2 linked regions of the Astyanax mexicanus genome follow. The protein of the gene in region 1 interacts with the protein of each later gene in a pairwise test. Links are inferred from orthologs where the notes say so. Each region holds a gene or a part of one and is shown on either strand. Other genes may lie near its edges.

The links.
Region 2: the proteins of zmym2 (region 1) and foxp1b come close enough for resonance energy transfer, tested with the Homo sapiens proteins (2 studies listed by BioGRID). The link is inferred for Astyanax mexicanus from reciprocal best matches to the Homo sapiens genes ZMYM2 and FOXP1.

What each region holds. Positions count from the first base shown.
Region 1 is NC_064418.1:25,236,170-25,240,090, reverse strand, and holds the start of zmym2 (zinc finger MYM-type protein 2), read right to left. Parts: upstream 2,276-3,921; 5' UTR 1,950-2,275; coding exon 1,914-1,949; intron 870-1,913; coding exon 11-869; intron 1-10. UniProt on the Homo sapiens protein: Involved in the negative regulation of transcription.
Region 2 is NC_064412.1:2,036,738-2,040,658, reverse strand, and holds the start of foxp1b (forkhead box protein P1-B), read right to left. Parts: upstream 2,811-3,921; 5' UTR 2,717-2,810; intron 1-2,716. UniProt on the Homo sapiens protein: Transcriptional repressor. Can act with CTBP1 to synergistically repress transcription but CTPBP1 is not essential. Plays an important role in the specification and differentiation of lung epithelium.

The sequences.
Region 1 (3,921 bases):
GCAGCATTACCAGATCTCTGGTGATTTCCCGTCTCTCCATTTTGAACAGGCTGGGAAGCTGAGCTAACACGTCCTGGGTTGAAAGTGGGTGAAGGTCTACCGGCAGATCCTTGGCTCTGCTGGGCTTCTGGGTTCAAGCTGAACGCACTGCTGATCTGTAACCCGTTTTCTGCTGCCTCTACCTCCTCCACGGCAGAACCTGGTCCACTGTCCCCAGTCAATGATGTCACACTTGTGATTTTAAGGTTCATATCCTCTTGGGCACTCTGAGTTTCGGATGTTTCCGCTGACGTTGAAATGGCAACGTCTGACGTCCCTCCTAACGTGGTAACGCTGGCAATTTTGATTTCTGAGTCTGGTTCAGTGCTGCTCAAGGCATTCCTGGCCGGACCGACTGCCAGTGAGGAAGACGATGATCCTCTGTGTTCAGAATCTTCCTCATCGTCTATAACAATAGGTTCACTCTGGCTTTGGAGCGTTGTGGTTACGGCTGCCGCAGAGGCAGCAGCAGCTGCAGAGGTGGGAGGAGTGGGTGCTTCGGAGGATGCTGTTGCTGTGGTAGCTGACTCCACACAGTCTGTGGTTTTGGCAGCATCGAGGGCCTCGACAGGTGTGGGGGAGTCTGAGGGGGTTGGCGGCTGTGTTCCCCCCTGAGAGAGAGCAGGAGGCCCCTCTACTAGCACAACATCATCATCATTATCCTCTGGAGCTTTGGGCAGGTCTGTTGTCATGGCACCAGCTTCACCTTGATGCTGCCCATCTGAGGAAAGATCCGTTGCAGGTGTGGCTTCCATGGGCTCCTCCTCCTGAATCGAGACCTCCTCCCCATCTGCCACAGGCTCCAAGTCTCCATCCATCACTTCAACCACCTGTTGACAGCGATGTCAGGAAAGAGAAGAGAAATAGCTCACATATGCTTATTAAATAGTAAAGCAATGCCCGAACCCTACCTAGGGCTGGACAATATTGCCAAAATGTTTATCATGATATGTTTATTTTGTTTAGTTGATATAATATCATTCAATATATCCAATATCTCCTGTGGTATACATCACACACTGACACTGCCAGGCTACGGAAGTCTAGTGTTCTTGTGCTTTCTGCTCGGCTTTGAAAGAAATAAACTAACAGCAGTGCCGTGCAATAACTTAAATTAAATGTACTTCATTTCAAAAATATACACATCATAAAAACCTGGATCTCCTTTATTATTAGGACTCTTATCTTGAAAAGGTTTACTTTTGTTTGATTCAATCGCACTCAGCTGGGTGAACAAGCATTTTAAAACCTAGAACTTCAGGTAAGTCACCATGATAGCAGCCGGAGTCAGCCGGTTGAAGCCATGATGCTACCAGACAAGTCAGTGTGGTTTAGCAGTGAAACTAACCGCTGGCCTTGGCAGGCTTTAAATGTGTTAAATGTTTCCCTGAACTGGAATACTTGCTGATATTTGAATGACAGAATACTGGGTTTGCTGTGATGCCAAGAGCTTCCCACAACGTCTACTGTTTAGTGAGTCTAAATTTGTTTATGAGAAAAGTGTCACACTGCATACGATATTGGAACCATTACTGTAAAATTTTGGTCCACCTAAAAAAAACTTGCCATATTTTTAATGAGCACTTTGTTGCTCTGTTTGGTGTGCACCAAAGGAAAATTAGATCTTCAACTGTCCAGCTTTGGTCATCATGCACTCACAGCTTTCTGTCCTAAGCTAAAAGAAATGGAACCCATCATGGTTTGATGTGCACTCATGTTTTTCTGCATCAGATGGAGGTTATCTGAGTTTCTTTAATGTTGTGGTGAAAAATCCTATATCAGCAGTTACAGAAATCCTCAACCTGCCCATCTAAAACCAACAATTAAGCAACGCTTTTTTTTTTTTGCATTTGGATGTTTAATTCGAACATTACCTGAAGCAGCATGAGTTCATGCATTGCAGTGGCCATCTGCCCAAAAGAAACACTGTGCAATGCAGGTGCAGCTTTTGTTTAATATGTTGCCAGAGAGATTAAACAACCCCTTACATACATGCATACATACATATATATCAAAAGCTAATGAACAAAGAAACTGATGCTCACTGTATCCAAGGCCTGCTGCTATATTATTACGTAAAATGTCATCATGGATGTCCCCAAAACAGGACAATACAATCAGTACTGACGCTATCAAAAATCAAGGAACCAACCAGTGATCTCCTAAACAGTAAAGCTACTGTATTGTGTGCTACCAGATTATATGGACAAAAACAACAAAGCTCACTTCTTAATGCCATACACATCCATGTTATGCTTCTCTCACAGCATGAATTTTATTGTGATACACAGTATACTTTTCTCATCATATCAGGGCTGTCTTCAGTGCAAATTCTAAACATGCCTGTTCAAATATTTATGGACAGCAATTTTACTGCATGCATACAGATGCAATAATTTGCACTCATTACGGACACAGATGTACAAATGTACACTTAGTTTTGTCTAGGTGCTGTAGAGAAGCATAGTCAGATGAACAGATGAACATGGCAGATGAACATGACACTACTGGCACCATGCCTAATGCCAGGTGTGGGGCAGAGGGGTATAAAGTCCCCTAGTATTAAGCTGTGGAGCAGTGGAACTGTATTTTTTGCAATTACGGTGTTCCATACTATATTTCTGGATAGTATTGTGGATGAGGTGTGGTGGTTATTATCCAACATTGTGATCAGATAAATGCTCTCGTCTGTGAATCAAATCCGCAACAATGCTCTAAAATCTAGCAGAATGTCTTCAACAAACAGCAAAGACGGTTACTTCAATATAATTAGAATAAAACTAATGCCCTTGATTTGGGAAGAAACGAATGAGCAGGTGTCCCACTCCTTTTGCCAAGTTAAGTGTATATACAGTCATATGAAAAAGTTTGGGCACCCCTATTAATCATTTTTAGTTCTATATATTTGGGTGTTTGCAACAGCCATTTCAGTTTGATATCTCTAATAACTGATGGACACAGTAATATTTCAGGATTGAAATGAGGTTTATTGTACCAACAGAAAATGTGCAATATGCACTAAACCAAAATTTGCAAAAGTATGGGCACCCTTATCCTTTTATTGATTTGAATACTCCTATTTTTTCTGACTTACTGAAGCACAAAATTGGTTTGGTAACCTCAGAGCTTTGAACTTCATAGCCAGGTGTATCCAATCATGAGAAAAGGTAGGATACAAAGGGAAGGATACAAAAAGTTGTCTCAGAGATTTAACCTGTCAGTTTCCACTGTAAGGAACATATTAAGGAAATGGAAGACCACAGGGACATTTCTTGTTAAGCCCAGAAGTGGCAGGCCAAGAAAAATATCAGAAAGGCAGAGAAGAAGAATGGTGAGAACAGTCAAGGACAATCCACAGACCATATCCAAACAGCTGCAGCATCATCTTGCTGCAGATGGTGTCATTGTGCATCAGTCAACAATGCAGCGCACTTTGCACAAGGAGAAGCTGTATGGGAGAGTGATGCGAAAGAAGCCATTTCTGCAAGCACGCCACAAACAGAGTCGCCTGAGGTGTGCTTTTGCATTTGCATACCTCAGGCGACTCTGTTTGTGGCATGCTTGCAGAAATGGCTTCTTTCGAATCACTCTCCCATACATAGTGGATTGTCCTTGACTGTTCTCACCATTCTTCTTCTCTGCCTTTCTGATATTTTTCTTGGCCTGCCACTTTTGGGCTTAACAAGAACTGTCCCTGTGGTCTTCCATTTCCTCACTATCTTCCTCACAGTGGAAACTGACACGTTAAATCTCTGAGACAACTTTTTGTATCCTTCCCCTGAACAACTATGTTGAACAATCTTTGTTTTTAGATCATTTGAGAGTTATTTTGATGAGCCCATGATGCCACTCTTCAGAGGAGATTCAAATAGGAGAAGAACT
Region 2 (3,921 bases), on another chromosome or scaffold:
TAATAATGTTTTACTATAACTACAAGGGTTTTATACATTCAGTTAAAACAAAAAAAAATAAACATCGGTCTGTTTCATAAAAGCATAAGTGTAACAAAATAAAACACCTCCTTTACAAAGGCAGTGTTACAGGTAACACACAGGCTACAACTGCTTTACAACCTTAAAAACTTAAAGGAAGCATTGCATATAACACATATGTACTCAAAGCCACCACTTACTTAAGTATCTTAAGTAATACACCTCCTTTACCAACTTAAACTTTACAAACTTAAGGGCAGTGTTAAACACAACACATAGGCTCCACTTCCTTTACAAACTTTACAAACTTAAGGACAGTGTTAAACACAACACATAGGCTTCACCTCCTTTACAAACTTTACAAATGTTTACAAGTTTTCACAAACTCAACAAACTTAAACTTTACAAACTTAAGACATTGTTACATGCAACACAGAGGTTACATCTCCTTTACAAACTTACAAAATTAATGGTTACAGGTTACACACAGGCTACACCTCCTTTAAACATAAAGGCAGTAATATACGTAAAACACAGACTACACCTCCATACAACACATAGGCTACACCTTCTTTACAAACTCAACAAACCTTGCAAACCTAAGAACAGTGTTCCACATAACATAGTCTACACCTTTCCAAACTTTACAAACTTATGGGCAGTGTTACATGTTACACGTGCCAACTCAAGGGCAGCGTTACACATAACACACAGGCTACGTCTCCTTTACAAAATAAAAGTAAGTGCGGTGCTACACTTTACACACATGTAGTCAGACACCACACACCCCTCCTTTACAAACTCAACAAACTTTACAAACTTAAGTGAAGTGTTACATGTAACACAACAGGCTCCACTTCCTTTCCAAACTTTACAAAGTTATGGGCAGTGTTACATGTTACACATTGCACATGCAAACTTAAAGGCAGAGTTACCCGTTACACAGTCTACACCTTTACAAACTTCAAAAACTTAAGGCAGTGTTACACTTTACACATATGTAGCTAAAGCCACCACTTGTAAGTACCACACATGGGCTACAACTCCTTTACAAACTCAACAAATTTTACAAACTTATGTGCAGTATTATTTGTTACACACAGGCTACACCTCTTTTACCACCTTAAACTTAAGGGCAGTGTTACATGTAACAATCTACACCTCCTTTACAAACTTAACACACTTCACAAACTTAAGGGCAGTGTTACACGTTACACATAGACTACACCTACTTTACAAACTCAACAAATTTACAAACTTAAGGGCAGTGTTACATATAACAGTCTACACCTTCTTTACAAACTTAAGGGTAGTGTTACATTACACTTTACACACATGTAGCCAAAGCCACAACACACAGGCTACACCTCCTTTACCAATTTAAACTTAAGGGCAGTGTTACATGTAACAAGCTACACCTCCTTTACAAACTTAACACACTTGACAAACTTAAGGGTAGTGTTACACTTTACACATATGTAGCCAAAGCCACCACACACAGGCTACACCTTCTTATACACATATTTAGCCATAGCAACAACACATATGCTACACGTCCTTTACAAACTTAAACTTACAAACTTAAGGGAAGTGTTACACCTCCTCTACAAACTTTACACACTTAAGGGCAGTGTTACACGTTACACATATGTAGCCAAAGCCACCACACACAGGCTACACCTTCTTAACAAACTTAAACTTACAAACTTAAGGGCAGTGTTGCACGTTACACATAGTCTACACCTGCTTTCCAAACGCAACAAACTTTTCAAACTTAAGGGCAGTGTTACATGTAACAGTCTACACATTTATTACAAAATTAAGGGTAGTGTTACACTTTACACATATGTAGCCAAAGCCACAACACACAGTCTACACCTGCTTTACAAACTCAACAAACTTTACGAACTTAAGGGCAGTGTTATCTGTAACAGTTTACACCTCCTTTACAAACTTTACATGTATGTAGCCAAAGCTACAACACATATGCTACACATCCTTTACCAACTTAAACTTACAAACTTAAGGGCAGTGTTACACCTCCTTTACAAACTTCACACACTTAAGGGCAGTGTTACACGTTACACATATGTAGCCAAAGCCACCACTCATAGGTGCCACACAGTTTACATCTCCTTCACAAACTCAGCAAACTTTACAAACACAAGAACAGCGTTACACACAAGCTAGATGTTACATGTTACAAGTTACTAGTTGCACGTGCAAACGGCTGCTGCCAGCAGTGCGCGTGGGGTTGATTTACCTGCACAGTAACTAGTAGAGCGTGCACTGAGAGTGTGTGTTGTGCTTCATGCATGGTTACAATGTGTCTCTGTAACTTTGTTTAGCAGCGGTTCGCTACTTTGATCTGAGCGGGTAACTTGTGGATCAGACGGCAGAATCAGTCAGAGTCTCGCGGGACTGAACTCGTGCAGTTTTATCTGTTTAAAGCGGACAGTTATCTCGTTCCTGCGCTAAAAGAAGGAACTCGCGTCCTGGCGCGCGCACGCGTGTTTGTGTGTTTGTTTGTTTGTTTGTTTACTTGTCTAGTTTCCTCCTCACCTTAGAAACAGCGCGCGAGCGCAGGTACAGCAGCGGGGCGCTCGCGGAGCGACGGGACAGCGGAGCCGCGCGCGCGTTACACATAAAAAGAGAGATAAAAGAAAGTAGAAACAATGTATCTGTTTGAACTTACCGCAGCAGCGCGCGCGGAGGAGACGCAGGAGTTAGTAGTAGTAATAATATCAACTATCGGCACTTCTTCTGCAGCAGGAGCGCGTGCGCTGGCGGAGCACGCTGTAAAGTGCGCGGCGGTATCACTCCGCGCGGAGGGACTAACTAACCGGGGTCTGCGGAACTCCGGGTCTCCCCGCGGTACCGAACCGGCGGATTTACCGCTCCCCTCTCTCTCTCTCAGCGCCCTGAGATAAAACAGAGAGATAGAGAGTGATAGAGAGAAATAAAGCAGCGGATTTATATTTAGTTATTTCTCCATTCTGCTGCTGCTGCGAAGTCTGACTGACGTCACATCCACCTGCTGTATAAACATTAGCAGCTCCTGATAACATCTAATAAACCTTCATTACATCTGATAACATCTACTAAACCATTTCTCTGAGATACAAACATAAATTCTGAGATATTATCTCAAAATATTAAAATAATGTGACATTTAATAAACATGAATTACTTCCACTTTCATGTACTAAACCATTGTTCTGAGATACTAAATATAAAAAATGAGATAGCTTCTCAACATAATGAGATAGCATCTGAAAATATTGAGTTATCTCAAAATGTCAAAATTATGAGCTAGTGTCTCAAAATGATGAGATAGCATCATAAATGAATGACTTAATGCGATCTCTCATAATTTTGAGATACTATATTAGCAAAATACATCTTCAAACAGTCCATTATTATCTAAAAAGAATTGAGACAGCATTATAAATGATTGACCTGTTATTTCAAAATAATATCTTAGATTCTCAAAATAATGAGATCATAATTTTGAGATACTAAGTGATTCTTTGACAATGATTTTTGCAGACTTTGTATTTCAAAATAATGAGATAGCAATTTACTTAACAATGAGAAAATATATACCACCCTCACCCCTCCAGCATCGCCTCCTCCACCCTCACCCCTCCACCCTCACCCCTCCAGCATCGCCTCCTCCACCCTCACCCCTCCAGCATCGCCTCCTCCTGCATCACCTCCTCTAGCATCGCCTCCTCCACCCACACCCATCCTGCATCGCCTCCTACAGCATCACCTCCTCCACCCTCACCCATCCACCCTCACCCCTCCAGCATCGCCTCCTCCTGCATCACCTCCTCTAGCATCGCCTCCTCCACCCACACCCTTCACCCCTACAGCATCACCTCCTCCACCCTCACC